Notamacropus eugenii: one gene and its partners. The protein of the gene in region 1 purifies or fractionates together with the protein of each later gene. This does not show direct contact. Links are inferred from orthologs where the notes say so. Each region holds a gene or a part of one and is shown on either strand. Other genes may lie near its edges. The genes, in order: SMAD2, SMARCC2, TGFBR1 and SKIL.

The links.
Region 2: the proteins of SMAD2 (region 1) and SMARCC2 purify together in Homo sapiens (affinity purification with mass spectrometry; 3 studies listed by BioGRID, with this or other methods). This does not show direct contact. The link is inferred for Notamacropus eugenii from reciprocal best matches to the Homo sapiens genes SMAD2 and SMARCC2.
Region 3: the proteins of SMAD2 (region 1) and TGFBR1 purify together in Homo sapiens (affinity purification with western blotting; 8 studies listed by BioGRID and IntAct, with this or other methods). This does not show direct contact. The link is inferred for Notamacropus eugenii from reciprocal best matches to the Homo sapiens genes SMAD2 and TGFBR1.
Region 4: the proteins of SMAD2 (region 1) and SKIL purify together in Homo sapiens (affinity purification with western blotting; 8 studies listed by BioGRID and IntAct, with this or other methods). This does not show direct contact. The link is inferred for Notamacropus eugenii from reciprocal best matches to the Homo sapiens genes SMAD2 and SKIL.

The regions. Positions count from the first base shown.
Region 1 is NC_092875.1:325,358,076-325,365,815, reverse strand, and holds the start of SMAD2 (mothers against decapentaplegic homolog 2), read right to left. Parts: upstream 3,019-7,740; 5' UTR 2,599-3,018; intron 2,523-2,598; exon of another isoform or gene 2,192-2,522; intron 2,042-2,191; exon of another isoform or gene 1,709-2,041; intron 1-1,708. UniProt on the Homo sapiens protein: Receptor-regulated SMAD (R-SMAD) that is an intracellular signal transducer and transcriptional modulator activated by TGF-beta (transforming growth factor) and activin type 1 receptor kinases.
Region 2 is NC_092874.1:231,452,511-231,460,045, reverse strand, and holds the start of SMARCC2 (SWI/SNF complex subunit SMARCC2), read left to right. Parts: upstream 1-4,524; 5' UTR 4,525-4,563; coding exon 4,564-4,674; intron 4,675-7,109; coding exon 7,110-7,229; intron 7,230-7,535. UniProt on the Homo sapiens protein: Involved in transcriptional activation and repression of select genes by chromatin remodeling (alteration of DNA-nucleosome topology).
Region 3 is NC_092872.1:65,598,505-65,606,011, forward strand, and holds the start of TGFBR1 (TGF-beta receptor type-1), read right to left. Parts: upstream 3,004-7,507; 5' UTR 2,890-3,003; coding exon 2,640-2,889; intron 1-2,639. UniProt on the Homo sapiens protein: Transmembrane serine/threonine kinase forming with the TGF-beta type II serine/threonine kinase receptor, TGFBR2, the non-promiscuous receptor for the TGF-beta cytokines TGFB1, TGFB2 and TGFB3.
Region 4 is NC_092877.1:353,779,874-353,787,150, reverse strand, and holds the start of SKIL (ski-like protein), read left to right. Parts: upstream 1-4,269; 5' UTR 4,270-4,291; exon of another isoform or gene 4,292-4,369; intron 4,370-4,564; exon of another isoform or gene 4,565-4,659; intron 4,660-5,666; exon of another isoform or gene 5,667-5,767; intron 5,768-7,277. UniProt on the Homo sapiens protein: May have regulatory role in cell division or differentiation in response to extracellular signals.

The DNA of each region.
Region 1 (7,740 bases):
CTAAAAATGGCTTCTTAAATATTCTAGTTTTAAAAATACACAAAAAATTATGATTCACATTTCAGAATATTTTCCTTACTCTCCCTTCTCTTTCATTTTATAGATATTACTTTATTTAATGAAAAAATAATGAAAAATTCATAAATTCAGATTTTAAAATTTTCTAACCCCACCACATAAAGTTCCACAAAACTTCCAGGGCAAAGGAGAGAATGACTATATGGTACAGTGGAAAGAGACCTGAGTTAGAATACTCTGTCCCACTTAATACTCATGCAATCAAGTCACCAGTTTCCAGGCCTCAGTTTCCTCATCTATGAGAGGAAGGGGCTGGACTCAATTACCTCTTCTAACACCGGTCTCTTCCAGAGCTAAACCTAGGATGCCATTCAAGTATTGCCCTTTACACTTTAAGACACTTTACTGTCTTTAAGACAGATTGGGGAAAAAGAACAAAAAAATGCAGTTGGTGGCTAAACTATTTCCACTCAATAGATTAAGTAACTAAAACACTCCTCTCTTGTTCTCTATCTGCAATCCAAGGGAGGGGAAGAGACTGAATTACTTCCAGTCCAAGTTTGTTGTTAAATTTGGATTTTTGAAATTAAGTAAAAGAAAATTGAACTGCACTTTTATTTTAAAGTCAAAGTTCGCTGATGAATCTGGGTGATGAATCTGGTATCTTTTCAACTAATTTGAAAAATGACTTGCTTTTTAAAGTACACATCACAGATTTTGGCATATATGGCATATGATGCATATATATGTTGCATGTATATACACAAACATATATAAAATTTGTATCTACACAAGATACAGACCTTGGTGAAGGGAAAGGAAAGAAAATCGACTTTTGGAGTCAGATGACTTGGGGCTCAAATCCCATTTCTGGTGCCTTCCACCTACTCCACCTTGGCTAAGTCACTTAGCTTTTAGGGGACTCAGTTTCCTCATCTATAAAATGAAGGACTTGAACTAGACGGGCTTCTCATGTTCCTTTCCAGTTTCCCTAAGTCTAAGCGTGCCACGATTTGTAAAACAAGTTCATTTTCATCTACACAAAACCCAGACACTGATCTTTTGAAGGTAGAGACGAGGTGAGAAGAGAGGGGAAGCAACAAAACCAGTTAAATTGGTTCCCTTTGTTTGGGATCAACAGAATAATTCCTAAATCAAAGATTAAAAGGTACACACAAGACTTAATAAACTACAGTATTCACCGCCAGGAAAGTGGCAAATTATAGAATTATGCTGCAAGCATCCCCCATGGGCACGCTTTTCGTAGAGCAACTTTAAAAAGTAGACCCCAAAGGAATCATTTCCGCAGTAAATAATAATAAATAAAGGAAACTAAAGGCAGTCCTTGCCGCCGCCGCTACCACCACCACCACCACCACAGCTACTACGACGACGACCACCACTCCTGGATCACTGCCCCACCTCCAACCCCCTCTCCAGCTTTAAAGACTGTCTGGACGGGTTCCGACAAGGAGGCACAATGGACGTTCCGGGCCCCGGCTGCAGAGGACGCCTCTGGCCCCTTCCCATCATCACCACTTTCTGCCAGCCCCGGCCGCTTCCCAGGACCGATCACACTCCACACAGGACCGCCCCCCCACCCATTCACCCCCAGTGAAGGAGGCGAGCACAAATACATCTCGGAGACTCCCGGAATTGTAGGAGGGGGTGGGGGGGATGGGGGTGTTACCTCACGGAGGCGGCGGCCCCTCTCGGGCAGGATCGGGGGGGTCTCGGACCTTTTGTTCCTTCCCCTTTGGAATGGGATGTAGGAGTCTGGGGAAGCAGGGAAGGAGGGGGAGGGGGGAGTGGAAATGGTCGATTTAAGGCGGAACTGAAAACACTCTCCCCTCCGCCCCTCCCCCAGAGGAGGCAGAGTCCCGAGGCGAGGAGGCGGACCAGCGGGGCGTGGGGGGCTGGGAGAATGCAGGTTGGGAAAGGGTCGCGGGAAGAGGGAAAGAGGAGCCGCCGCCCGGTCCGCCCACACCGGAGGGAGGAGAAAATAGGGGAGGGCGTGGGGACGTGCGTGTCCCACCGCTCGCCCCTCCTCCCCTACCTCACGCGCGAACACACACACACACACACACACACACACACACACACACACACACACACGAACAAGACTAACCGGCCCGCGCGGTTTCCCTGCCCCCACCGCCTCCGTGCCACCTACCGCTGCCGCGCAGCGAACCCTGCTCCCGGCTGCTCGCTCGCTCGGCTCTCGCTGCCTTTGCTACCTAGCTGCTGCTATTGCCGCCGCTGCTGCTCCTGCTCCTCCGCCGCGGCCGTGCGGGTAAAACCCGCCTCCTACCCCGGGCCCCGGGTCCCGGCGATTCGTCAGTATAGCCCCGGGGCTGGCACCCTGCCGCCCGCTGATTGGCGCCCCCGCCCGCCCGTTAGGGCGTGAGGACGCGCCGGCCGTGAGGAGCGCTCCGCGCGCCCAGGAGATGGGGTGGGGGGGCGGGGAGCGGGGGAAGGGAGCTCAAGTGCGCCAGGGAGAGAGAGTTGCGGACTAACACCTTCTTCGCTTTTCCCTCTTGGCCACGCCCTCCTAACCCACCCGATCTGATGGACATCTACCTCGACGAATCGGAGCTTGCCGAGGTCGGGGTGTGCGCGGCACGTCGGGTTCCCTGAATCGGACGGGAAACGTCGCTCGCCGATGGGTCCCGCCTCCTCCGTAGAACGTGAGGTGGTGTGGGGGGAGGGGTCAGAAAGGCAGCGGTTTCGGTTGATTCCTCTCGCCCGCGTATACAGGAGATTCACTAGAGGTGGGGAGGAGGGGAGGGCGGAAGGACAGGCTTTATCTAAACATACAGTAACCTGCCGCGTAGGGAAAATAATCCCAGCAAAAGTACTCACCCATCTTTCTACCTCACCCAGCGTGCCTCAGCCTCGTTGGCTTGCCGCCCCTTCCCCAGGTCATCACCCCTTTCACACTCACTAAGTGGCCACAGGGTGGGGCTCGTTTAGGGACTATCCCTCTCCATTCCAAAAGGGATTTAACCTACGCTCAGGGGAGGGAGGACTAGGAAGGAAAGGGGGAGACGAGAGCTCCCAGCCCCACCCCCATAGGAGACAAATGGGACTGAGAAAAGGAAGGGGGCGTGGTCAAAAGCCGGGAGGGTCTTGTATGTAAATAAGGAGGCGGGGACAAAATCACCTCCAAGAGCAAATTAGGATGTCCTGGAGGGGCGGGGCTCAATCATACTAGGAGAGCTTGGTGCGGGTCTCTGTCCGCTATACCGGTGAAATATGCCAGCCATAGTAAGTTCGTTGGATTTATGATGGAGGGGACCCCAGAGTCCACCAGATCCTGTCCTCTTACTTTTCAGCGGAGGAGAGTGAGGCCCAGGGAGGGGAAGGGTCTTGTCCAAGTTCAAGTAGGGAGTAAATCGCAGAGCTCACATTAGAACCCAGGTCTTCTGATACTAGAGCTAGGACTTGTTCTACTACGCTGCCCTTTACTAACTACTACACTGCCTATGTTCTTTCAAAAGTAATTTCTTCTTTTCCTTCTTCTCCTCCTCCTTTTCCTTCTCCTTCACCTCCTCCTCCTTTCTTCTTCCTTGACCACCTTGGCTAGTATATTATCAAAATCCTAGTTATTGATCTGTGCTGGAATTTTTGTTTTCATTTATTTTGATTACCCTAAATTATTCCCAATGTCCAATTCATGATGTGGGACTGCAAAATCTGCCCTATGGAAATGTAAGGAGGCTTTGAGGTGGTGGCCCCCCAGGGCTCTCTGACAGCCTATGCAGCCATAGTCTGCCATTTCCATTTAGGGAGTACCTCAACCTCTAGAGAAGAGAATATGAAATAGTCAAATCAAATCAGCTCTTTATTGAACACCATTCCTTTCTAGAATTTTTGACAGATGAGGAAATCTGGGCATAGTCTGACATACATGGTAGACTGAGATAAAGGCTTCAAAAGATTCAGAGAAAAGATAGGTAGATTCCTCAGATAAAGGTCTCATTTCTTAAATATACAAAGAACTTTGTCAAATTTATAAGAATATGTCATACCCCAGTTAAAGGATCAAGGGATATGAACTGGCAGCTTTTCGATGAAGAAATCAAAACTATATATGATCATATGAAAAATTGCTCTAATTACTTAGAGAAATGCAAATTAAAACAACTTTGAGATATCATCTTATACCTGTCATATTAGGAAAAGGATGAACAGGATGGGGTATTTGATTGTGATGGAATATTACTATGATATAAGAAATGATGAGCTGGTTGATTTAGAAAAACATGGAAAGACTTGGACTATGAAGGAAGGTACTATCCACCTCCAGACAAAGAACTGACAAATAGAAATATGCATAGTATGGTCTTATATGTATATATGTATATGTGTATAATATATGTGTATGTTTATAGATATGTATATATATGCATATATATTCATATTTAATTGTAGCCTTTTATGAAGGGAGAAAAAATAAGATAGAAAATGCACTGTAGACAACAAAAGAAAACCTAGAAGGAAGCACAGAAAAGCTGGGTAGCTTTGAAAAAATACATAGTATTGATTACATAGGTTTTCATGAATAAACATTTTTTTTATATTGAATCCTCTCTTATGTTTACCTGTATACAAGGAATTTTTTTTTCTTGTTTTGTGTTTAACTTTAAGAGAGGAATAAAAAACATATTTTAAAAGATAAATAGGATCCTGTGGGCTAAAAGATCATGGAATTAAGGCTGACAACATGTTGAATGTAAGAACATGATCCCTCTTGTAGAAATAGTGCTAAAACTTAAAATCAGCTATTTCTGATAAGGGAAGCTAAGGATAACAAAAAAGTATATTTAAAGCTATATTGGGAGAAAAAGATCTTTGAAAGAGATAAGACCTTTGCTTGGAGTGCATGAGGTTATGATACCTAAGAACCAAGAAAACAAAACTGCTCAAATCTTATTTTGCTTCTGTTTACTAAGGAAAATGATCTTTTCACTGGAATGACAGAATATGACTAATAACAAGTTGATACCCAAGTAACATGATGGTAAAAGAGTATCTGTTTGTTCTTGATTAAAGCAGTTCACCTGGTGTGCAGATAGATTATATACTCAAATACTGAAAGAACTGGAAGGGATGTGACTGTTTAATCAGTGATATTTGAAAAATCATGAAAAACAAAGGAGATACTACAAGATTAGGAAAGTGCTAATGTGGTTCTGATTTTCAAAATAAAAGTGGGAGGAGAGAGAACAGTTTTTAAGCTATAGACAAATAAACTTTACTTTGTGGGAAAATACAAAAATATATCATTAAAGAGATGATTGGTAAGCCACTAGAAGGGGAAACCGTCATTAAAAAGAACCAGCATAACTTCATCAAGAATAGATCATGGCAAATTCATCTCATTTCCTTTTTCAACATATTTAATAAATTTGTAGATGAAGGGAATGCCATGGATATAATTTACCCAGATTTTAACAAAGCTTTTGATAAAGTGTCACTTACTATTATTGTAGAGAAGATGAAGAGGCATTGGGTAGATACAATTAGACAGATTTAGAATTGGTTGAATAGTTGAACTCAGTATATATTAGTAGTTCAATGCTGGCATGGCAGAATATCTCCAGTGGAGTAACTACAGAGGTCTCTGCTCGGTTCTCTACTATTTAACATTTTAACATTTTATCATGGACTTGGATAAAAGTATAGATGACCTGTTAATCAAATTTGGCAAAGATATTGTACTGGAAGGGATAGAGAAGATTCTAGAAAATGAAGTCAAGTTTCAAAAGACCTTGACACATGACTAAGTAAAGGCAGGAATTCACCTCATCTCTCCCAATTTCCCCACCAAACAACTTCATAATAATGCCTCAAAACAAATTCTGGAGCAGCAGAACTAACAAAGATACAGTGAAACAACTTCCCAGCCCAAGACAACTTAGAAAGTTGGTAGAAAAGTTATGTCTCACTAGGGGGAGAATGGAGTGCAGTCCAGCACAGATCATGCCCTGGCAAGCCAGCAGTAGGCCTTGAGGGTGACTAAATCAGCCCACAGATGGTAAGGAGAGAGGGGTCAGAAAACCGGTAAGAAGGCAATTACAGAAAACCCTTTCTTGTCACTGGGTACAGGATGCTGTTACATTGCCAATACGTGGTTCCATTGCGCAGTCTCAGGGTGAGGAGGATCACTAGAATAGTAGAACATGTGGCCACAGGAGAGGCACAGTTACAGAGCTGAAAGAGTGCAGCATTCATTCCCAGATCAGAGCACAAGCCAGAAGAATAGTGACCACACCTCCCCTTTGATCATACCACTTTGGAAGAACTGAAAACTTAAAGATACCAACCCCCTCAAAAATTAGCTCTGAAAATAGCAGCTCAAAAACCCTGAAGCTTGGGACCATGCCCTTTCTACGCAAAAGTCAAGAAATACACTGGAAAAATTAGCAAACAGCAACAAAAAGAACCTAACCATGGAAAGTTACTATGGTGATAGAGAAGGTCAAACCATAAACTCAGAGGAAGACAACAAAATCAAAATACTATTTCCAAAGCCTCAAAGAAAAATGTGAATTGGTCTGGGGTCCAAAAAGGATTCCTGGAAGGGCTCAAAAAGGAGTGTTAAAATCAAATAAAAGAGGTAGAGAAAAATGTGAAAAGAAATGACAGTGATTAAAAGTGAGTCAACAGCTTGGTAAAGGAGGCAGAAAAAAAAAATGAAGAAAATATTGCCTGAAAATCAGAATAGGCCAAATGGTAAAAGAGGCACAAAATTCCACTGAAGAAAAGAGAGATACAGAGGGAGATACAAAAACTTGCTGAAGAAAATCATTTCTTAAAAATTAGAATTAGGCAAGTGGAAGCTAATGAGTCCACGAGACATCAAGAAATCATAAAATGAAAGGAATAAAAAAAGAAGACAATGTAAAATATCTCACTGGAAAAACTTTTTACTTGGAAAAATAGATCAGGGAGAATTAACTTGAGAATTATTGGACTACCTGAAAACTATGATAAAAAATAAAAAGCCTAGATGTCATATTTCAAGAAATTGTCAAGGAAAACTTCTCTGATATCCTAGAAGCAGAGAGTAAAATAGAAATTGAAAGAACCCACTAATCCCCTCCTAAAAGAGATCCCAAAATTAATATTATAGCCAAATGCTAGAGCTCCTGGGAGAAGGAGAAAATATTGTAGATAGCCAGAAAGAAACAACTCAAATATTGTGGAATCAAGATAACACAAGATTTGGCAGCTTTTATGTTAAAGGATTGGAGGGTTTGGGATATGATATTCCAAAGAGCTAGGATTACAAACAAGAATCATTTACCCAGCAAAACTGAGTATAATCCTTCAGTGGGAAAAATGGATATTTAATGAAATAGACAACTTTCAAGCATTCCTGATGAAAAGACTAGAACTGAATGGAAAATTTGACTTTCAAACACAGCACTCAAGAGAAGCATAAAAAAGGTAAACAGAAAAGAGAAATCATAAGAGATTCAATAAGTTCAAAATGTTTACATTCCTAAATGGGAAGATGCCTAAGAATATTATCATTATTAGGGCAGTTAGAAGAAGTATATTTATACTGAGGACACAGGTGTAACTTGACTATGATGGTATGATATCTAAAAAAATTAAGGGATTAGAAAGAGAGATGTATTAGAAGAAAGGAGAGATAGAACAAGGCAAATTATCCCACATAAAAGCCATGAAAGAACTTATATAGTGGAGAGG
Region 2 (7,535 bases), on another chromosome or scaffold:
TTCTTTTTGTGTTCTTCTATGTGTGTGTGTGTGTGTATACATATATATACATATATATATATATGTATATATATGTATACACACACACATACTCAATCTTGTGTGAGCTTAATTTGGTTCAGAATTAACCCAAAATTTTAAAGCACATATTAGAGACACTGAGACAAAAGTCTCAGTGGCAACATGTGGCTTTCCTATGCTAATCAATGACTTTACACCCTACCTTCTCATATTTGGGCCGGAACCACACCTACCCACTGACTGTAGAGTCTCAGAGAATAGAAAGAAAGCAAATACAATCAGTACATGTCTTGACTTCAAGGGGAGTTAGAGCAACTTAGCCACAACTTCAGCCCCCCAAAACACTGAAATGAATGACTGAATTGTTAATACCTTCACCTAGAAGATATTGTTCTGCTGAGAAGTCATGATATTCATGAGATACACCAGTTAGCAATTTGATAGAAAGCTACCCTATACCTAGGAGTAGAGAGACTGGTCATATTGTTTTGTGTACAGAATGGTTCCAGAGACTGGCAATGATCCTGCAAAGCAATCCACTGTAACCATTTATCACCAGTAGGTGAGTTATTTGGATTTTCTGAAAGGCAGACAAAAAGTGTTGGACATTCATTTCAGTGGATGATACACGGAAGAAATAACTTTCTAGTCATAAAGACTCAAAGATCCAGAAACTCATTTCAAGTAAAGAATATTCTACAAAATCCCATTCAAATGATAGAAAAGGTTTAAACTCAGAGGCAATAGCTTTCCTATCTAGCACTCTAACTGTAGAGACTGCTCTGGTTTCTACATGTCCTGACAGAATGTAGTAACCCAGGTAGCCAGGCTGGACCAGTTGAGATTTAGGAGAGCAGGACTATAGTCATGATGAGGATTTATGATTCAACCACGCAATCAATATAGCCCAAGGAAAGAAACAGATGTTGTTCTTCCTTCATTTTGAAGAGGATGTCTTGACTTGGATGTGAATTAAAATGAGGCAGAATTGTGCAAAGTCATCAGCCTCTCTCTTCCAGATTCATTAGAAATCCAGCGGCAGGACAGAAGTCAAGATGACTGGCAATGGTCTGGTTTGCTGTGGATGATGTTGGCATTCCACATCGCCTGCATCAGCTGTCTTCATGGTTGTTGGAACAAATTGTTCTCATTTGCCCATTCTACCAGGGGAAGTCTTCACATACTTGGGGTAGACATCTCCCTCACTCACTGACCAGTCTGAAGCCTGTCGGGTACCCTTGACCTGGTTTAGCCCATCTGCCAAGATGGTATTATGGGGCTCTGGCTGTTGCTCCTGCTACAGCTTTTTGGAACTACAAGTGAGAGTTGGGTGAATCAGATGGACACCGAAGGTAGATAAGCAGCCCTGAAAAGTCCTGAAAAGGTGTTAGTCTAGGGATAGGAGCAGTTAGTTCAGTAGAAGAGCTACAACTCTCTGACCAATGAGCATGCTAACTAAGATGTATCAGGTGAAAGATGTTAAATGGATACAACATATATAGCCAGGTGATGATAATGTTTATGCATATAATATGTACTTTGTATGTAATTTCATTCTAAATTCATTGATGCATATCATTTACAGCATGTATTACGTTATTTTTCTTGTGTTTATTTATTCATATATATCAGGCATTTATTGTAGTTGCATTTGCCTAACTATTCAGCTTTACTGTACGTTTAGTTATGTTTCTTTTTCTTCAAATCTTATTTGTAGACCCACCAATGTCATTTCTCCTTTGATTTTGGTATTTGAATATTGGCTTGTGTCCCATGGATACCCATGTATTGCTGTGATACTGCATATACTATGTTCTACGTGTAATTTAAACCTGTAGTCAATAAAGTAGCTTGTCAAGTGATGTTTTGCGTTTTTGAGCTACGTCTATCGGGTGTATCGTTGGTGTGTATTTGTTGTTAATAACTGGGATGCTACTTTCATCATCCTTTGCTCTCTCCAGTGCTGCTATTTTATCTGATGGTCGGCTGCTGTGTACATCCAGAGGCCATGTACCCCAGCTGATTCTTGAAAGGGACTGCAAAATTCTAAACCCTGGGAAGAATGCAGCCATTTCGTCAGTCTTCCGGGTAAAAAGTCTGAAATCCAACTGGAGTTCGAGAAAAAGAAAGCGGACCTCTTCAGTTCCGAGTCGGAAGATTTTACCGTCACAGTGGGGACGTTCCCCTGAACTCCCAAACTTAACTAACTGGAAGCCGAGGGACTTACGGGAGCCTGGATCCCCAAGTCGGAACACCGCCGGACTCACCAGGGCTCCGGGTCCGGCGGCCCTCCCGTCGCCCCCCAGGCAGCCCTCGGCTCCGGACCTCGTCTGCAGCTGAACCAAGTTCAGTTCCGAGCGACAGACACTGCCCAGCTCTTTAGCTCACCCCGGAACCCTGGAGACCAACTAGTAAAAATCGGGCTGGCATCCAGAGTTTCACAAAAAAGGGAAAAATAACAAAGATACTCTATGTACATATGTCAATCAGGTGCGGAACACACAAGTAACTGATTACTGCTGCGCACCAGACTCAAGATGCACGGACCGACCAGAACTCCGCGTAACTACAAACGTCAATTACCCGTCTGGTAAGTTTCCTTACGCCCCACCCCCCACCGCAGCTAACAAAGGTAACGTAGAGTAATTAACCCCACGTGGGCAGATTAGGAAACAGTCAGGCCTAACCGTCAACCGTCGGGACTTGAACCGAGGACCTGCCGGCTCCCAGACGCCGACGTTCCCTCGGCGCCACATCGGCTCCCGTCTCAGGCTTCCGTCTGTCTAGCTCCAGCCTTGTCCAAGGAATTTCCCTACCAGCACATCAGCCTCATGCTAGCACCCCACTTAAGACGTGCAGGCGCGCCCGGACTGGGGGTCACCCTTCAGCACCCCTCGCTCTCGTCTCTCTCACTACACTCCCAGAAGGCGATGGATGTCATCACAGCCATTCTATATCTTTGCTAAAAACGTCTCTGCCTCCCATTCAATCTAACCTCTAACTAATCACAGCCCTGCCGCCCCCTCCAAAAAACGAATAAAAACGAACAAGAGCAGGCGGACCCAGAAGTGAAAGGGCTAGCGGGACGGAGACTCGAGCAGTTCTCCCCCGGGCTGTGCCCTCTACACCCCGAAAATCCAGGTGCTGAGCCTTTTTTTCCCAACCGGAACCTACTCTGTATGAATTAGGTTGGAGCCTCCCTTTTCTTGGGCAAGGGAAAAAAAAATAAAAAAAAAAAAAAAAAGCAGCGGCCGTCACGAACAGGATTCGAACCTGTGCGGGGAAACCCCATTGGATTTCGAGTCCAACGCCTTAACCACTCGGCCACCGTGACTCCCGGGCTGAGCTTTTGCCGCGCGCTTATAGGAAGGGTCGCAGCAGCGTGGAAAAGGCTGCGGGCCGACAGACAAATTTCTCCCTCTAATTCTCGGTGCAGATGCCCCTTCACCCCCTCTCTCCGTGGCTCCTCACCGAAGTTTGGGAGAGAAGGCTCGGAATCCCCCCAGGAAAGGGCGGGGCCGGGATCAGCTCGGAGAGAGGGGGCAATGGTGTGCAGGGGCTGGAGCCCCCGAGGGGGCTTCCGGGAGAAGGGAGAATGGCTTTCTCTTCACGGGGGGCCCGACCCCTCCCACTCCTCTGTCACCTTCGACGATCTCCCCTGCCCCCCAAAGACCTCCCTCAATCACCGCCCCCGTCCCTTATTTCCGGGTCATTCTCTCCTCTCCCAGTCCCTCATTGACCCCTCTATCATCACCCCCCTTCCCTCACTGACACCCCCATTACTCCTCCAGCCTTTACTGATCCCCTCCGTCACTCCTTCCGTACTACACCGATCCCCCCAGTCACTCCCCTTGTCATCCCGCCTCAATCCGCTGTCATTCCTCCCGCCCTCCAGTGACCCCCGCTGTGACTCCCCCGCCCTTCACTGAACTGTCAGGCTCCCCTCCCCTGACAACCCCCCCATGAGTGCCCCCTCACTGACCCCCCCGGTCAGTCCCCCTCCCCACACTGACCCCCCACTACTCCCCCCTCCCCGCACTGACCCCCCCGTCAGTCCCCCTCCCCGCACTGACCCCCCCACTACTCCCCCCTCCCCGCACTGACCCCCCACTACTCCCCCCTCCCCGCACTGACCCCCCACTACTCCCCCCTCCCCGCACTGACCCCCCCACTACTCCCCCCTCCCCGCACTGACCCCCCCGTCAGTCCCCCTCCCCGCACTGACCCCCCACTACTCCCCCCTCCCCGCACTGACCCCCCCACTACTCCCCCCTCCCCGCACTGACCCCCCCATCGCTCCCCTCTCCCCTCACTGGCCCCCCCCCCCAGTCAGTCCTCCTCCCCTCACTGACCCCCCCCCGTCACTCCCCCTTCCCTCCCGCGGGCCTTCACCACTCTGGCCGGGCCCGGCAGGGGGCGCTGCGTTGGGCCCAGGCGGCTGCGGGCGGCGGGCGGAGGAGGAGGCGAGGCGAGGGAGCGGGGCGGGCGGTGGCGGCGACGGTGGCGGCGGCGGCGGCAGCTGGGGGGGGGAGCCAGGAGAAGATGGCGGTGCGGAAGAAGGATGGCGGCCCCAACGTGAAGTACTACGAGGCCGCAGACACCGTGACCCAGTTTGATAACGTGAGGCTGTGGCTCGGCAAGAACTACAAGAAGGTACGGGCCTGAGCACAGCGCGCCGGGCCGGGCCGGGCCGGGCCGGGGCCCCGGGCGCCACAAAGGGCGCCGCTTGGACCCCCCCCGCCGCTGCCGCCCCCTTCCGTGGGGTCCCCGCGATCCCCACATGCTGCGGGCCACCCTCGAGCAGTCGGGCCGGGCCCCGGCCGCCTCTGCCCGCTGTCCCCTCCCCCGCTGTCTTCCTCCTCCTGCCCCCTTCCCCACTGTGCCCTCTCCCGATACCCCGTCCCTTCCCTGCCCCGCCGCTCCCCAGGCCCCCCTCCCCCCCGCGACCTTTACCCCCTCCCCGCTGTCCCCCCCTTACTCCTCACGTTCTCCCCCCATGTGTTCTTCTATTTGTTTGATTGCCTCCCCTTCCCCCGGTCACCCCCCCATCCAATGTCCCTGGTTCCATGAGTCTCCCGTCACCACCATCCACTGAGATCACACATGCAAAGCGCTTTGCGAACCATGAAGCGCTATGAAAATAGTAGTAATACCATCATCTTCCTCTTTGTGGTTCATTTGAAAATTCTCAAGAAGGGCAGGAGCCAGCCAGGGAGAGGGAGGAGGAAGAAGCCGACTGGGTACTCCCCCGGGCCAGCCCCGGTGCCCAAGGGCTGGGGGTGGGGGCGGGAGTTGAGGCCTCCCCGAGGCTTTGTGTGTGTAGAGTATTGGGAGAAGGGAATGAGGAAAAGCAGCGGGGCAGACACCCACCGGGAAGGCCTCCCTCCTGCTCTTGGCCTGGGGAGGATCTCCGTGCTCTTACCTGTCTAGCCTGCCTCCATCCGAGGGGAGGCCAGAGGACAGGGGATGGTGGGTCTCAAACAGTGTCTCAGCATTTACAGTGAAGTCCCCACTTTGGGCCTCCCTTGACTTGAGGTCCCAGTGTGGAGCCCAGTCCCAACCTTTTTACCCAAGACTGGGGGGGTAAGGGAGTGAACAAAAGGTCTGTGGAACGTGATCCCCCCCTTCTACGGGCCTTTCCTGGTTATGTCCTTTGTCTGGAAGGCTGATAAAAGGGCAGCATCCACCTATGTTGTGTTCTCTCCCCATAATCAGATTCTCCGGGAAGAATCTGCTCCTTTTCACTCTTCCCCACTCTTTCTTACAAGGAGGAAGACAAGTTTTGTATCTTTTTTCCTTCTTGGTTTTCTGGCTTTCAGATTCTCCCTACCCATCCTTGTTTCCTGTTGGAGGTTGTAAGTGGTGGTACTGTTGGGAGAGCTCTGGTCTGTGAAGCCCCTTTCCTCAGGTTCCAGATACATTTGGATACAAGCTAACCTTGTTCTCTGGGGTCTCTCCAGGTGTCAGAATCCTGACAGTCAGCTGCTCCATCTGTTGCTTGTCTGTACTCAGCATGGGGCTCTGATTTCCAGGCAGTTACTAGCTCTGACCTTTGGGAGGGAGAATAAACTGGGGGCTTAGTAAGTGGATTCTGGGATGAATTGATTGCCCGTGATCTGGTGTGGCTTTTATACTCCTGGGCTTTTGTCATTTACTTTTCCCTCCTGTGACCTCTCCTTTCCCAGAAGCTATTTTCCCTGCCTCCCTCTGAGAGGGATGTTGTCCTCTGTGATTGGGGTGGAGGAAACTGGGGTCAAAGGGTTAAAAGAAATCCTAGAGGTTCAGTTTAACATGAATTCTTGGAGAGAAGTATTATATGGGGATGTCTGGAAAAAGTCCAGAATTGTTTTGAACAGCCTACAGCGATCAGGGTACCTGCCTTCTTACCAGGGCTTGTATCCAGCCTAGTTTATTCAGGGATAGTAGAGCTTTTTGCCTGCCATTTCTCTATTAGGCAGCATGTGAGTACGGTCTTCCTTATGTTATTATTATCTTCTAGAGGATCTATTATAAACCAAAGGCCCCTCCACAAATATCCTGTAGCAGTTCTATTTGGCCTGTCTTTCTTAATGACCAATTTGCCAAGATTTTCTTCTCTCCCTCTCCCCCAAAAATGTTCCCACAAGTTAGTGGACAACCTTATTCTGTTCAGTGAGTCCTGAAGAGCCTCCTTCTCTCCCATCACCTCCACATAGGCTGGATTCCATAAAGCCTGAGGCTTTTATGACCCAGAGTACTGTTGTGGCATCAAGATAAGAGGGTCCTGGCAGCTCACATTACAGAGTGAAGCTCAAGAAAGAGAAGGAAATTCTTCCCTCTTGGGCACTCAGTACTAAACTGCTTCAGTTATTTGCTGGCAGAAGAATTTTTACCTCCTGGAGCTCTTTCTGCTGCCCTTAGAACTAGGTGAAGGTGCCTCTTGTCTGCCTTCTTTTCACACATAGTTTCTAGCCGTTGTCTGAGGAGAGAGGCTTCTAGAATGTCTCCACTTGACCTTACTACCTTTCTAGGGGCCTTTCTCTCAAGCTTGGGGCTTGTGGGAGATATAATGGGAGTCTTCATTATTCCCTTTCTCCCTCTCCTCCTAGTACATCCAAGCTGAGCCACCCACCAACAAGTCCTTATCTAGCCTAGTGGTACAGTTGCTACAGTTCCAGGAGGAGGTATTTGGCAAACATGTGAGCAACGCACCACTTACCAAGCTTCCGGTGAGTCTACAGGGCCAAGGCAGGTGGGTATCCCAACAACCTGGGGAAGGACCTAGACTATTTAAGTACTGTATCTCTCCTTCCCCAGCCAACCTTAGAGTATTGCTGGCTTAGCCCAGTGAGGCTGTCTCCAGATATTACCAGATCTGTCACTTTACCCCCTAGGCTACTCTACCCCTGTCTAGGGATTTGTCAGAAGGATAAAATAGTTGAAGAAATGCCCTCAGCTTAGGAGCAGATATTATTGCTGTACTTTGCTTTCTGAAGTGAAATGATAAGGGGGGAGGGAGTAGGTCGCTTTTACCA
Region 3 (7,507 bases), on another chromosome or scaffold:
TCCACTGCCCATCCTACTTTCAGACACAGCTCAAGGATCATCTTTTGCATGAACCTTTCATTATTTCCTCCAACTGCTAAAATATCTTGTATTTTACAACTTTGTATATATCTGTATTTATACTGTATATATCTATATACATACTTGTCTCTCCCATTAGACTATAAACTTCTCGTCAGAATTGTTTCGTTCTTTTTAGGTATATTACCAGCATAATGCCTGGTCTATAGCAGCTGCTTAACAAATACTTGTTAAGTAATTGATTTCTGGGTTTGTGCCTTCCCTCCAAAGGACCTCCAAGGTATAGGAAGTTATTTATAAAATACTAAAGGCTCTTTCCTCACAACAATCTGGTAAGGGAGGGAGTATAATTATGATTTCCATTTTTTAACAGTTAAACGACTTGGCCTGAAGTGATAGGTCAGGTATCATCTGATGCCAAGGCCAATCGATGCCCTTTCCACAGCTCCAAGTTGCTCATTTCTATGCATAGTCCAGCACATAGAACTTGTGACTTCTGAATGTCTATGCAATGTTCTACACAGAAAAGGCACTCAAAAAATGTTACCCAAATACAAAGCTGGAATGTTAATATTTAAAAAGCAGTAAAATCAACTTTTCGCGTTAAATGGTATGGATAATTCACAAGTAATTTATATTTACCTTTAGAATACATTTATTACTTTTCCAGCAATTTGTCTTCTAAATATTACTTCCATAGGTAATGGAAATATAAAATATAAGCCAGATGTAGAATTCTTTCATAAAATATGTCATCCATAACATAAAGGACCAGGAGAGGAGTAGGGGTGTCCTAGTCATGTGGCAAAAGCAAGGATTAACAGATAGACAGCCCAAGTGCTGTACTGGTTAAAAAAAAAAAAACCCTAGAAAGGGCTGTTGTGGAAAAAGCTCCATAGGAAGTTTATGGAAACATACAAAAAAGAATCACACAAAAGGAAAGATGAGTTTGGGGGTGGGGAAAGGGTATCCACATCAAAAGAAAGCAAGCATTTTTGCAGCCCATCTTAAAAAGAATAGTAATCCCTTAACATCTACTGACAGCCATAAACGGAACACTGGAAAGCAGAAAAGCGCTTTGACATTTTAAAATTTGTGGAGGTAAATCCACAGAGTAAATAATCAAATACTGTTAGGTCAACTGCTTCCAAGGTGACTTAAAAGATATAAAAAGAAAATCAATAACAAACAGAATTACACACACACACACACACACACACACACACGTAATTTCATAGGATCGGAGCTCAGTACTTGAAAGCGGCCCTAGAGATAATCTTGCCCAATCCCTTCAACGGACAGATAAGAAAACCAAGGCACAGGAGACTTTACCTCCCAGCCCAGGGTAGCCCAATTTGGAAGCATCTTAGCCAGAGCACAGGAACGTGACCAAATAGAAAACGCCTTCCCTAGCAGCTGAAAACGCTGCCTGGCTTTGCAGCGTTGCTACAACTTAACTCTACACTATCTCGCTACACCACTACTTACTGGTGCCTCTCACGCGATCCTCACACCTGCAAAGTTCTCCCTCCTCTCCTGGACTCTCCAGTCTCATCTCCAACCCAGCTTTCCCCACTGGCCTTCCAGATCCCTCCCAGGGCTGGAGCTTCCAGCCCAGATTAGACGATTAAGCACTAGGTAATTCACGTTATCTGTTTGGAAGGGAGCTCCTCCAGGGCACGGACCCAGGCTGGCCTTTCTTTGTATCTGCAGGGCTTAGCCTAACGCTAGGGACGGAGCTCCTTCCACCAACGTCACTCTTCAGCTCCAAAGATGGGAGGTTTTAGGTGGGTTAGGGGCTTTTTTTGGGTGGTTTTACTTATTTTTTGAGGGCGTTTCTGTGCGTGCACGAAAAAGCACTGCCCAGTCGGTATGCCTCCCCACCTCCTAAAACGATCCCTCGCTCGGGTCCCAGAAAACCGGGTCCTCCCAGAGCGGCAGCTCCCCTGCCGCCGTCCTCGTGATAGTCATCTCTCTCCCACTAGAAATCTGATTTAGCAGCAAGAGGAGGAAAAACAAATCTTCTCCCAACACGTGTTGGATGAATGTGTAAAAAAAAAAAAAAAAAGTCATTCCCATTCAAACATTTCGAAACGCCGAGCAAATATTCAGACAAGTTTCTAGGGCGAAAATAATTCTTAGTCATCTGGTGATGGAATTCGCCCGCACCCCCTCCCCCCCACCCCGGGCACCCGGGAAGCGGCCGCCGCGCTTCACACCTACTTAGCCCCCGGCTCCCGGGGCCAGCACAAAGATAGGGGAGGGGAGGTCCGCACTCGGGGCAGGAGGGGCCGGAGGCTCCGGCGGGGCTGGGGGGGGGGGGTCAGGAGTCCGCGACACCCCCCGCCAGACACCCTCCCGGCCCCGGGCGGAGAGGCCAGCCCCGCGAGCCCGGGCTCCCCGCCGCCGCCCCCCGCCTCCTCACAATCTCCGTCTGCGGTCTGTCTGGCCGAGGCGGCGGCGGAGCCCCGGGAGGAGCCCTCCTCCGTCTCCCGCAAGCCGCCCGACCACCCCCGGCGCCCCCGGGGCCCGCGCCATGTTGGAGAAAGGGGCCGCGGCCCCAGCGCCCCCGTCCGCCTCCGCCGCCGCCCCGGCCCCTCCCCCCTCCTGCGGCTCACCCGTCGCCCCTGGGACCAGCCCCGCGGCCGCCAGGAGGAGAAACATCTGGTAGCGGGGGGGAACGGTCGTCTTCCCCGCGACGGCCGCCGCCGCGGCCGCCTCCATGGTCCCGCGTCGTAGTCCGCGTCGGGTCCTTTCGAGGGGCCGGGGCCGCGTCTCGGTGCCCCCGCCCCGAGGAACCAGAGAGCCTCGCCTCGCGCCGCGGCCTCGTTCGGCCCCTTTGTAACTGCTCGGGGGGGGCCCTCCCATTGGCTGCGAGGGACGTCCCGGCCCCGCCTCCCGGCAGCTGCCGAGACGGGAGAACAACAAGAGAGGCGAGAGCCCGGCCCGCAGGGCCGCAGCCAATCCGGGGCCGGAGGGCGCCGGGAACGGCCGGGCCCCCGCCTCCTTCCCAGTCCCTCCACAGGCTCACCCCTCCCACCCCGCCTCCTTCCCAGGCTCCCAGGACTCCCCCGCCCCCTCCTCAGCCCCACCCCCTCACCCCGCGTCCCCCCACGCCGGAGGTTTCGGATGGTGCAAGAAGTGGGGGGGGGGGGGGGTGAGCAGTGAGCCGTGCACTGGAAGAGGAAGCGGCCGCCGAAGCCAGGGGCTCTGGGGTCCCTAGAGCTGGGGGGCGCCCAAGGGGCCCCAGCATGTTGTGCCCGCGGAGGGGAAGTACTTCAGGACTGGGGGCCTCTCTCCGCTCGGTGCACGGGGACCGGGGCGGCCGCACCCCCTTCCCAGGGGACCGTTATCGCCCTGGGCCACTCCGGAGCTGCCGCCAGCTCCGGGCCCTCTTCCGTCCCCACTCCCCATTCCTCCTCCGACGGCCCCCCTTCCCCCGAAGCCCTCGGAGACGTGACCTCGGGGCCGTCTGCGCTTCACCACTCTTACTAACTGAGCCCGGAGAGCCGAGCAGGCCGGAATGGGGCCGCCCCGTTTTCTAACCACTCCAGCGGCGGGATGGGGGAAAGGCGGTCTACACCGCACGCACGATCGCCGAGACCCCCCGGGACTCAAGAGCCCTTGCCTCTCTGGCTCGCCCCTTTCATGAAGTCAAATAAACTCGGGAGAAACTCGGAAGGGGTAGAGGGAACTCTCGCCGCCGAGACGAGGCAGCCCGTTCTGCAACCACAAGTGGCTAATGTTTAAAACCTGCGGTGTTTGCAGTACCACGGGTATCCAGCGTGCCTCTTTGGGGAATCTTTGGTTTCCTTCAAGACGAAAATAAGCTGAACTACTTTTCCATTCTTGATTTTCTCGGCTGAGAGACACTCCTCCCACCTTCACTTCAGTATGTGCCAAAATAATTTAGCAGCCAGACTTCTGATTCTGCAATAAAATACTTTTACTTTCGATACAAATACTATGCAGTTTTTTAACGCTAAACTTTTTTTTTTAACAGAAAGCTTCAATATCTATTTTCCATTTATTTGGCTTCAATCCTTTTTTTTTTTTTTAAACTTAATGATCTCTCCTTGCCTCAGTCTCCTGGCTTCCTTCAAGTCACTGCTAAAATCCCACCTTCTGCAACAAGCCTTTCCCAGTTCCCCCTAATACCTCTCCTCAGTGATTATCTCCACTTTATGCTGTTTACATATATATATGTATATATATATATATATATATATATATATATATATACACACATATATTCATAGTTGTTTACTTGTTGTCTCTCCCATTAGACTACGAGCTCCTTGAGGATCAGGAGTTTTTGACTTTGTACCCTTAGTGCCTGGCACAAAGTAGGTGAGCTTTATAAACGCTTATTGATTTGACTTTTTGACTTGGATAAGGAACTTGTCCTCATTTATGGATTCCCTTAAAATGTGTTTGGGCGATAATGTATTAATAAAAGTGGTTAAGAAAACCTTTAAATCTGGAGACTTTAAAAGCCTAGTAAGAGTGGGAGTAATAGTGATTAGGGCTGATGCAAATGAATATAGCTTTTAATCCTCCCCAGAGTGGCTTGTATTTAAGGAGTTTAAATTGTTAAGATAAATGAATTAACTCACTGGTGCCTGCGACACAGGGCAGCAGTGAATAGATCGCCTGACCTGGAGTCAGGAGAACCTGAGCTCAGATGTGACCTCAGACGCTTATTAGCGGTGTGACGTTGGGAAAGTCATTTACCCCTGTTTGCCCTAGTTTTCTCATCTGAAAAATGGGTTGGAGAGGAAAATGGTAAACCAATCCAGTATCTATGTCATGAACACCCCAAGTAGGGTCACTGTGAGTCTGACACAACAAAAGCCTGAGACACAATCCCCCCCACTCCTCCCCACCTCTATTTAGAGACCTTTGCGTGCCGTCTGCTTACAGAAAGGAAAGCAGTCAACACTTCTGCTCCTAACCATCTCCTTTCTTAGGGGTTCGGCGACTTGATGTCTCACTCTCAAAAGTTTCTAATTGCTGATCTAGCTTTTTTTCTAATGATTAGAATGTGTTTGTGGACTAGATACAGTGTTTCTCTCCCTCAGAAAGTCTCCGATAGACACTGACTAATTGTATCTCTCCAGGCTCCATAAGGGCTTCCATCTTACTAGTCTTATTTAGAATCAACTGTTTTGCTTGGTTTCAACTCCAGGAACTTCATTCCTTCCCCCAGAATAAATTCCTCACCTGAAATCTCATCGTCATGTGGACTGACTCAGTTTTTGATAATCTTGATAATCCAACACCTCTTCTGTTTCCTGAGTTGCCTCTCCCCTTAGTTTGGAGCTAGGGGCTGGAAAGCTAAGCAGTCAACTCAGAACTTTTCAAATATTTATTTTCCATCAGTTGCCCAACTTGGTTTCCGAGTGGGTCCCAGACGCCCCTTCCCCTTTTCAGCTTCCTTTTGTGAATTGGCTTCCTCGATAGTGACTGTCTTATTTTTTGTTTATATATCTCCAGAACTGAAGATAGTGTCTGGCGCTTAATATGTGTGCTTAATAGACGTTTATTGACTAAAGACAATAATAATCCTCAAATTCTCAAGTCAATTTTCATGAAATGCATTTTATGTCAGCTATTCTAGGATGATATTTTGGAAAATATATCAAATCCACTGATTCTATGATACCACCACCTCAGATCTCAGTCTTGAGCTATTATGAAAATATGGATGTCTTTGTATGTCACATCTTTCTGTTTCCCTGTTTAGTCACTAAGAGAGAGGAAGGAGGTGAGGAGCAAGATGCTTGGAAGGGCAAATGGCCTTTTCCTAACACAAGTTGTAAGTAAAGGGTAATCAAACATTTCTTGGAAGTGAAAGTAAAATCCTACAGCTAAAGGAAGTCTGCTATTTTTCACCTCAGGAATATGAGTCTTAGGCAAACTAGGATAATTAATGAAATATCTAGAGCAGGAGTTGTTAATGGGGTCACTGAACTTTTTTTAAAAAATTAAAACTATGCAGGATGTTCCCAATATCTTAGTGCAGTTTTAAACTGTACACTGTAATTCAAGGTAATTGTTTTCCTATGTAATCTATGTATATTACATGTAAGTAGTTTTGAACTATCTTTGATTACTATATAGGTTATCGCTTTGGAAATATTTCAATATTTCTTCTGATTGATAGGAATACTTCCAACTATGTAACCAATTTATACCATTTAATCTTCCATGATTCTTCTGTGTTCTTGGAAGGGGAACATTGTTCATCTGTGATGTCTTTCCAAGATACATACATACATATGTATGTGTATATATATATACTAATAGAATATTTTTATAGACTACACACCTAACTGCATATTATGGTCCACAGTAGACAACAGGCATTTTCCCCTATAGTGCTTACTTCCCCACATGTGTGTCTGAGTGTCTGTGTCAGTGTGTGCATGCACATATACATATGCACACACAAATGATACATACATCATTATCCAGACCCACATTGAACCAACCAAGTAGAATATAAACTGCTTGGGGGCAAGAAGTATTTAATTTTTAACTTTATATCCCCAATATCTAGTAGAGTACTTCACACATAGTAGGTGCTTAATAGGTGTTTGTTGAAATGAATTTTTAACTCATGTTCTTTCCTACATGGAGAGTTAAACTAGCCATCTTTTATCCTGATATTCTTTAGGAGGCCATATAGAAATCTGAGGCTTGATATAATTAACCCAATATCATCTTCAAATAAGAACACTTGGAGGGCCTCATTATCTACAGGAAATCTTCCTTGTCTTTGGACTCCCTACAAGATAGTCCCCATGACAATGGCAAGCACCTTTGGCAATATACATCTCCAATTTATTATGCCACATGTATTAATAATGAAAACGTCATTGAACAAAAATCATCTCTGTAGTTACATTTATCAAGGAATCTCATTATAGGCATAGGAAGTTCAATGTTGCAGCCTTAAAGGACTTTAAATAGCATTTTGTTCTACTATCTTAAATGTTTTATAATTTTAAAAAACTGTTTAGCCTTATGTGCTCTGAACATTTTAGTCAATTATAAGGCTGTGAAAACGTGATCAGTTGTGGAAAGTAATCTATGAAAGCCGGCTTGTTCCCTTCTCATATTTTTTTTTTTATCAAGTATAATCTCAAGAAGAAATATAAAGATAAGTCACTTGAATCAATGACAACTCCATTTTTAACTTTTTTTTTTAAAAAAACCATTGATTTTGAAAAATGGAAATTGGATATGGGTAATGTTTCTAAATCTGATTAATGAGTTAAAGCAGTTATCACAATGAGGAAGTCATGGTAGCTCAGAAGCTATCTCAGCCAGCTAACACTTGATCTCTTTGCCATGCAGAGATATGTGACAACCAAAAGCATCCCTGACTTAGCATATAGACTTATTTGCTAAACATTGAGTAGGATGGCAAAAGATTGATTATAGGTAGTGCCACCTCATGTAACAGCAAAAAAAAATAACC
Region 4 (7,277 bases), on another chromosome or scaffold:
GGCTGAATAACAAAAAGCTGTGTCTCTGGTTGCAGAGCCCTTTTTGAAGCTAGTCAATGGAAAAGGTGATTTTCTTGTTCAGTCATGTTCAACTCTTCCTTCACCCCATTTGGGGTTTTCTTGGCAGAGATACTGGAGTGGTTTGCTATTTCCTTGTCTAGCTCATTTTACAGATGAGAAAACTGAGGCAAGCAGGGTTAAGTGACTTGTCCAGGGTCACATAGTTAGAAAGTCTGAGGCTGAAATTGGACTTCTGAGGATGAGTCTTCCTGATTTCAAGCCCACTGCCCCACCTAGCTGCCCCAACCAGGTGATTAGCAGAAGTACCTTGGAGAGACATAAGCATACAGAAGCATACACTGTAACTGGTTACAGTCTGGTTAGTCTCTCCAAGATACTTCCATTATGTGTCATTATGACTACTCAAGAAATAGAATCCCCAGAATCTTTCCCAAGGGGAGACATTGTCAAAGGTTCTCTGTTTATGTTCTAGATTTTATTATACATAACTATCTCATTTGGTCCTACTGAGATAGGTGTTATTATTATCCCCATTTTCCAGAGGAGATGAACTGAGGCTGAGACTACTTGCCCAGCATCACCCAGGGAGGAAGTGGCTGATTTGAACTCAAGATTCCCTGACTCTAAGTTAGGGCTCTATCCATCATACCACCTAGCTACCTCTTTAATTTTTTGGACAGTAGGGAATCATTCAAAGCTTTTGAGGTGGGGAGATATGATGACTCTTAGGGATTATCTTCTACAATTCAGCAGATAAAATGATGGGCAATTCAAAAATCCCTTACTTTTGGCTTTGGAATCCAGACCCACACACACATAGACTCTGTGTCAACTCTGTGCTCAATCTTTCTGTTGGCTGCATAGGACCCAAATGAGCAGCAGAGATGAGGAGACATGCATCATCCCTGGTAATTAAGTTGGCCTCATGTGTATTTGTCTTTGGACATGGACCATTCTCTTTACCACCTGCAGTGACTGCTTTCTTTCTTTTTCTGCCTTTTATTTGTATTTTGTGGGCCCTCTTACTATAACATCTGGGCTGGAAGAGACAATGACTGTTATTTTTCTTAAGGGTTTTTATAAAATCAATCTTGCAAATACTTCTAAGGCCTGCAAAAATTTGACCACAGATGAACCTTCCAAGATATACTTGATCTAAGAAAATCTCACTTGCTTACAAGTCCCAACCTGCAGTTTGGGGCCAGTGGCCTTGGGATCTGAAGGGCAAAATGCAATGTGCCAGGCACTTTCTGTGCTTTATCAGATGATGCAAAAAATTCTATTTTTCCCCAATAAATTCAAACAATTCCCTCCACATTTAGATTTCCCTAGCTACTAGTTTACTCCCTACCCCCAGAGGGGTAAATAAACAAGTTTTACCCTCCCATCACCAGGAGGTGAAGAACAAGACTTTTCTTGCAGCAAAGAATGTTGGCTTCTATCAGAAACACAGATGTTTTGTGGGGGAAAACAACATGAGCAGATGAAATAAACAGTAGTAGTTTGAAACTGAGATTTTTCTGCCTACGGTCTTTGGGCTTGTAAACAGTTATGTTTATGGCTGATAAAATGGCCAACAATTGATTACTAATGGCAGTTTTGAAATAACCTTTCTTTTTCTTCAATGGGTGTTGGAGGGGTCTTTGTGGTTTGCACCAAATTCATGGACCAGGTACAGACAACTGACCAAGGCTCAGGGCTGTCTACCCTTCTCACTTCAATCTTTGGTTAGGTCATCTATGTTTTCTGACTGGTTAAAAAAAAAATCTGTCCCTGCAGGCTCACAGATGCTCCTGGTTCCCCCACTGACTCCACACAGAGCATCATTATCTCTGCAGAGCTTCTGTCTCTATGGTAATAACAGATGGGAAGTGCTACAGAATTATTCATGCTAGGGAAAGGAGACAGTCCAAAGAAAGGGTGGGGGGTGGGGGGTGGGGGGAAGAGCATCCTTCCCTGAGGGAAAGAGAGGCTCAGTAACTGGGAAGAACAATAGTTGGTGGAGATGGGGGTGAAACTTTGGAACCAATATGGGAGCTGAGTAAAGAGGAGGGGGAGGAGCTAGAAGGGAGGCAAGAGGAGAAAAATCTTTTGTCCCTGTTGTGTCTCAGCTGTCCCGAAGAACCTCTGGCCCGATGGTAGGGAGTGTTTAGAAGGATACACCAAATGACAGAACTCACGACAATAAAATAAGGGACTAATAGAAAATTGGGCACTCTCCTCCCTCCCAACCCCCATCTCTCAGAACAACACACAAAAAACTCTGAACCTAATGAGTACTGAATGCTTTAGTGCTGGGTGGAGATAGTTTCAATTCCTGATTTTAGAGCTGTGGTGGAGTAAAATGAATCTTGCCATGGTCCATCAATAGTACTGAACATCTAGAAAAGTAATTGTAACTTTTTAAAAAGTAAATGTTCAATTCTCTTGAAATTGTGATGCTCTATCCTCCTCCTCCTCCTCTCCCCCAGCCCCCAAACAAGAGAAAAGTTTTTAGATAGGTTTGTTGTTGTTCAGTCGTATCTGACTCTTTGTGACCCCATTTGGGGTTTGTTTGGCAGAGGTACTGAAGCAGTTTGCTATTTCATTCCCCAGCTCATTTTACAAAGGAGGAAACTGAGGCAGTTGGGGTTAAGTGACTTACTTAGGGTCACACAGCTAGTAAGCCTCTGAGGCCAGGTTTGAATTTCCTGGCACTCCCCCACCTAGTTATTTAATAGCTAACATGCTGGTTCACAATTATTATCTTACTTGATCCTCACACAACAACCCTGGGGAGGAAGGTGCTATTATTATCACCCCTTATACAGATAAGGACACTGAAGCAAAGAGAGGTTTGGTGACTCACCCAGGATCACACGGCTAGTAAGTGTTGGAGGTCGAATCTGAACTCAGGTCTTCCTGACTCCAGGTCCAGAGCTCTAATCACTGAAACACCTAGCAGATATACTTTTTATGATCTTTATTCTTTCCTCTTTTCCATCTACGGTTTTCTACTTCCAAAGAGACCTTTTAGCAACAATAATGTAGTTTTAGCCAACAAAAGAGGCCACCTCTCTGCCTTGGGCACTAGGTTAGGTGCCCAGGCTTTGATACACAAAAACAAAAACAGAACCAGAAATAGTCTCCCCTTCAGGGAACTTACACACTGCTGGGTGGAGTTGGAGGAGAGGATGATAAACACCAAGTAGCAAAGAAACTGAATCTGGAGGTTAGAATCCCGACTTGCTATCTTTGACCAGGGACAAAATCGCTTTGCTTCTCTGGTGTTTCTCACCTCTAAAATGAGGACCGACAATCATTCATTCAGTCACCAAGCATTTATTAAGCTCTTACTCTGTGTGCTAAACTCCAGGGTTAAAACTGAAGCAAAAAAAAAAAAAGTTCCTGCCTTTAAGGAATTTTGTTTGGCCTTTTTGGGGGATCCCTAATGTTTAGCACAATTCCTGGCACACAGTAAGCGCTTAATTAATGCTTGTTGATTGACTGAAGAGGAATGTAACACATTAAAAGGAGATTCTGACCCCAGCTCCAAGTCGTGTGAAAAATGTGTATGGATAAGAAGCAATTTGAGGGAGAAGAACTATAATCGTAGCTGATATTTACACAGGAATTTACCAACTTCGACTCACACGGTTCTCTGAGGGAGGGAGGCCATCTTCATGGGATCACGGATTTAGAGCCGGTTGTGGTCATCTTTTAATGATGGGCAATACTTATCCCGAACAGGAGGAAACTGAGGCACAGAGCAGTTGCTTGACAAGGAAGCAAGCGAAGATTTCTTAAGAGACTGCCCTGGGCCGGAGAGACCCTGGGCCATTCCCGGGATAGAAGGTCACCCAGGGGCCCCCGCTTCCTTGGACCAACTTATAGCCCTCTTACTGCGTGGACACTACCACCTTGTTGGCAGCTCTGCTCCCAGTCTGCAATGATTCTCTCATCCCTCCAGCTCTTGGGTGGTTAGGCTCCACTCCTGCGCTCCCCTCCCCATGTGAAAGTCAACCAATAAAAAAAAGAACCCTGAAAAAAAACCCTCGCTGTGGATGCTCTGGGTGTTTTAGATCGCGCGAGGGGAGGGGCCCGGACCAGGGCCAGGGAGGGAGATGCCCGGGGCTTCGCTGGGGCTGCAACTTTTTTTTTTCCAGACGATCGACTCCCCGGCTGCCCGCGGGCCGAGGTCAGTTCAGGCGAGGAGCCGCCGAGCGCTCCCTGTTCCGGGAGTCCAGGAGCCTGGAGGGCCGGGGGAGGGCTCGGGGCAGCCAGAGGCAAGGTCGGGGCGGGGCTCCCGTCTGCTGGTGCAGAGCTGGCTTTCTGGGGCGGGCTGGAGGCCCCGCGGTCTAGGAAGTACGGGCGGGGGGAAGGGGAGAGAAGGCGGGGGGGGGGGGGGGGGGGGGTTCCTGGAAAGAGGGGGAGGGGCGCCGCGAGCAGATGCGGTTCTGGGCTGGGGGAGGGGTGTCCCCGACCTCCCCACTTAGGGGACTCGGAGGAGCGGCGTGGAGGGGGCTGGAGGAGGGGCTGGGGGCGGGGGGAGGGAGCAGATGCTGCCAGGCGGAGGGGTTTGTCCCTGACCTCTCAAGGAGGGGGCTCGGAAGGGCGAAGGGGAGGGGGAGCAGATGCTGTTCTCGGCTGAGCGCCTGCGTAAGGGATTGGGGAGGGGGTCCCAGATATCTTCGGGAGAGGGATTCACGGGGGCGCTTTGGGGGCAGTGCCCTCCACCTGGGGCGCCCCTGATCTCCCCGGGCCGGGGGCTCATGGGGACGCCTGGGGAGGGTGGGGAGGGGCTGCCCTGTCCCCTGGCGGGGGCGCCCCCAGTCTCCCCGGGTGGGGGGCTCATGGGGACGCCTGGGGGGGTGGGGAGGAGCTGCCCTGTCCCCCGGCGGGGGCGCCCCCAGTGTCCCCGGGTGGGGGGCTCATGGGGACGCCTGGGGAGGGTGGGGAGGGGCTGCCCTGTCCCCCGGCGGGGGCGCCCCCAGTGTCCCCGGGTGGGGGGCTCATGGGGACGCCTGGGGGGGTGGGGAGGGGCTGCCCTGTCCCCCGGCGGGGGCGCCCCCAGTCTCCCCGGGTGGGGGGCTCATGGGGACGCCTGGGGGGGTGGGGAGGGGCTGCCCTGTCCCCCGGCGGGGGCGCCCCCAGTCTCCCCGGGTGGGGGGCTCATGGGGACGCCTGGGGAGGGTGGGGAGGGCCGCCTTATCCCCCGGCGGGGGCGCCCCGCGGTCTGGCTCCGGGCCCCCGCGGGGCGGGCCGCAGACTGCCGGCTCAGCCCCTCCCCCGCAGCCCGGCCGGGCGGGGCGGGGCGGGAGGGAACATCCTGTCTGCTCCGGGCGCACCGCAGACAGGCTCGCGCGCCAGCCGGCCAGACGGCGCGCGGGGCCGCGAGGACCTGGGAGCCCCGCGGGCGGGGGAGGGGGGAGGGGCGCCGGGCGCGCGCGGCCGGGCGGGGAGCGCGGGGCGGGGCCGGAGCCACAATAGAGCGCTGGGGCCGCGGGGCGCGCGCGCGGGGACGCTGGCGCGGCCTGCCCCTCCCCCTCCCCCGCGGCCCCTCCCCCCGGGCTGCCGGAGACGGCGGCGGCGGCGGCGGCGTCTGCGGGAAGCTGTGTCTCCGCAGTGACGTGGGCGGTCTGTGTGCCCGGTGACGTCAGAGGGCTGGCTGTGTGTAGCCATGGGGGGGCGGGGGGTTCTGAGCGGCGGCGCCGGCGGAGCCCGGGGGAGCCTCGGAGCGGCGGCGGGGCCCGGGGGAGCAGCGCAGGTACGGTTCGGCCCAGCCCGGCGGGGCCCGCGGGCAGGGGAGCGGCGCGGGGGGCCGCGGGAGGTCGGGGGGCTGCGGGGGACTGCGGGGGGCCAGGGCTGCACTTGACCTCGGCGTCCGCCGGGGATGCCCTCGCCTCGGCGGGGCGCGGCGGGGCCCAGCCCGGACCTCCTGGCCCGTCGGCGAGGCTCGGCGGCCGTGGGCAGGGGGCTTCCGCTCGGGGCGCCACCCGCCCGGCTGGGGGGAGGGGGCTGGAGACCACCGGGCTGGGGAGGAAGGGCCCCCCTGCCCTGGTCTGCCCTCTCCCCTGGTCTACCCCCTCCCCCTGGTCTACCCCTCTACCCCCCACCCCGGGTCTGCCCTTTCCTCTATTTCTGCCTTCCCTTGTCTACCCCTCCCCCCGTGTCTGTCTCCTCAACGCCCCCCCCCGTCTTCACTCTGCTTCCCCCCATCTCCGTCTGCCGCTCCCCTCCAGTGTCCCCCCCCCGTCCCCCCGCCCCCGCTTGAGTGGCGCCCAGTTCCCGAAGTGTGGGCAGCGACGGAAGGGGATGGAGATGTCGGGGTGGGGTGCGGAATGGCTAAAGGAGACTGCTGCCTCCACTCCCCGACGCCCCCTCCTCTGACTCTCTCTTTCCGTCCGAGGGGTGGGGGATCGAGGGAGGGGGGCTTGGGTTGACCCTCCCTGGAGGAGGTGGGGAGGCCGAAAGGGGACTTTCACTAGTGGCTGCTCTCCACCCGCACCCCATCCACTGGTTGAGCCTCGGCGGGCGAGCTCTGTTTAGTTTCAGGGGCCGCAGATGGGGAGAGGATGACAGGGTGGGTGAGGAAAGGAAGGGGATTTCCACCCGAGTGTCCCCATGGTTCCCCCCACCCCCACCCCCGACAGCCTCCACCCTCCACCCTGTTGGAGTCTAGACTTGTTCCCCAGGGCAGACTGGCAGGGGGAGGGCTGGGGATGTCCCTGTCGGCTTGTGGAGGAGGAGGACTCCCACCTACCGCCTCATCCTGATTCCTAGTGTCCTGCCTCCCCCTCCCTTCCCTAGGGTTTTCAATTGAGTACTTGACTCCGCGTGGGTGTAAAGGACTTTCGGGGTTTGGGGAATCCCCAGTTCTCCAGGTGATTCCTTTTGGGCTTCGTGGTTTGAGCTGGCGCTCTGCGGTGGGGTTGAAGTCAGTGGATTCCTTCCTTTCCCTTGTTGGGATGGATGGAGTGAATAGTTCAGGCAGCAATAGTTCATCTTCACCCTCACCCCAATTTTCTCCAGTTTATTCAGGATTTCTTTTCTTGAGAAGGAAGTGGAAGGAGGATTTACCTCTCCCCCTCCCCCCTTCCCCTTGCTCCATTTGCATTCTTTGTGAACAGTGTCTGCAACTGCTTTTTTTGTCCCAGATTAGCCTTGTTCAAGGTTGGAGGGTCAAAGGATTGGAATACATAGTTCCCAGGCAGCAGGAAGATTTTCTCACCTTTTGGATTTACCTACTTTTTTTTTTAAACGTACTTTTGATTTCA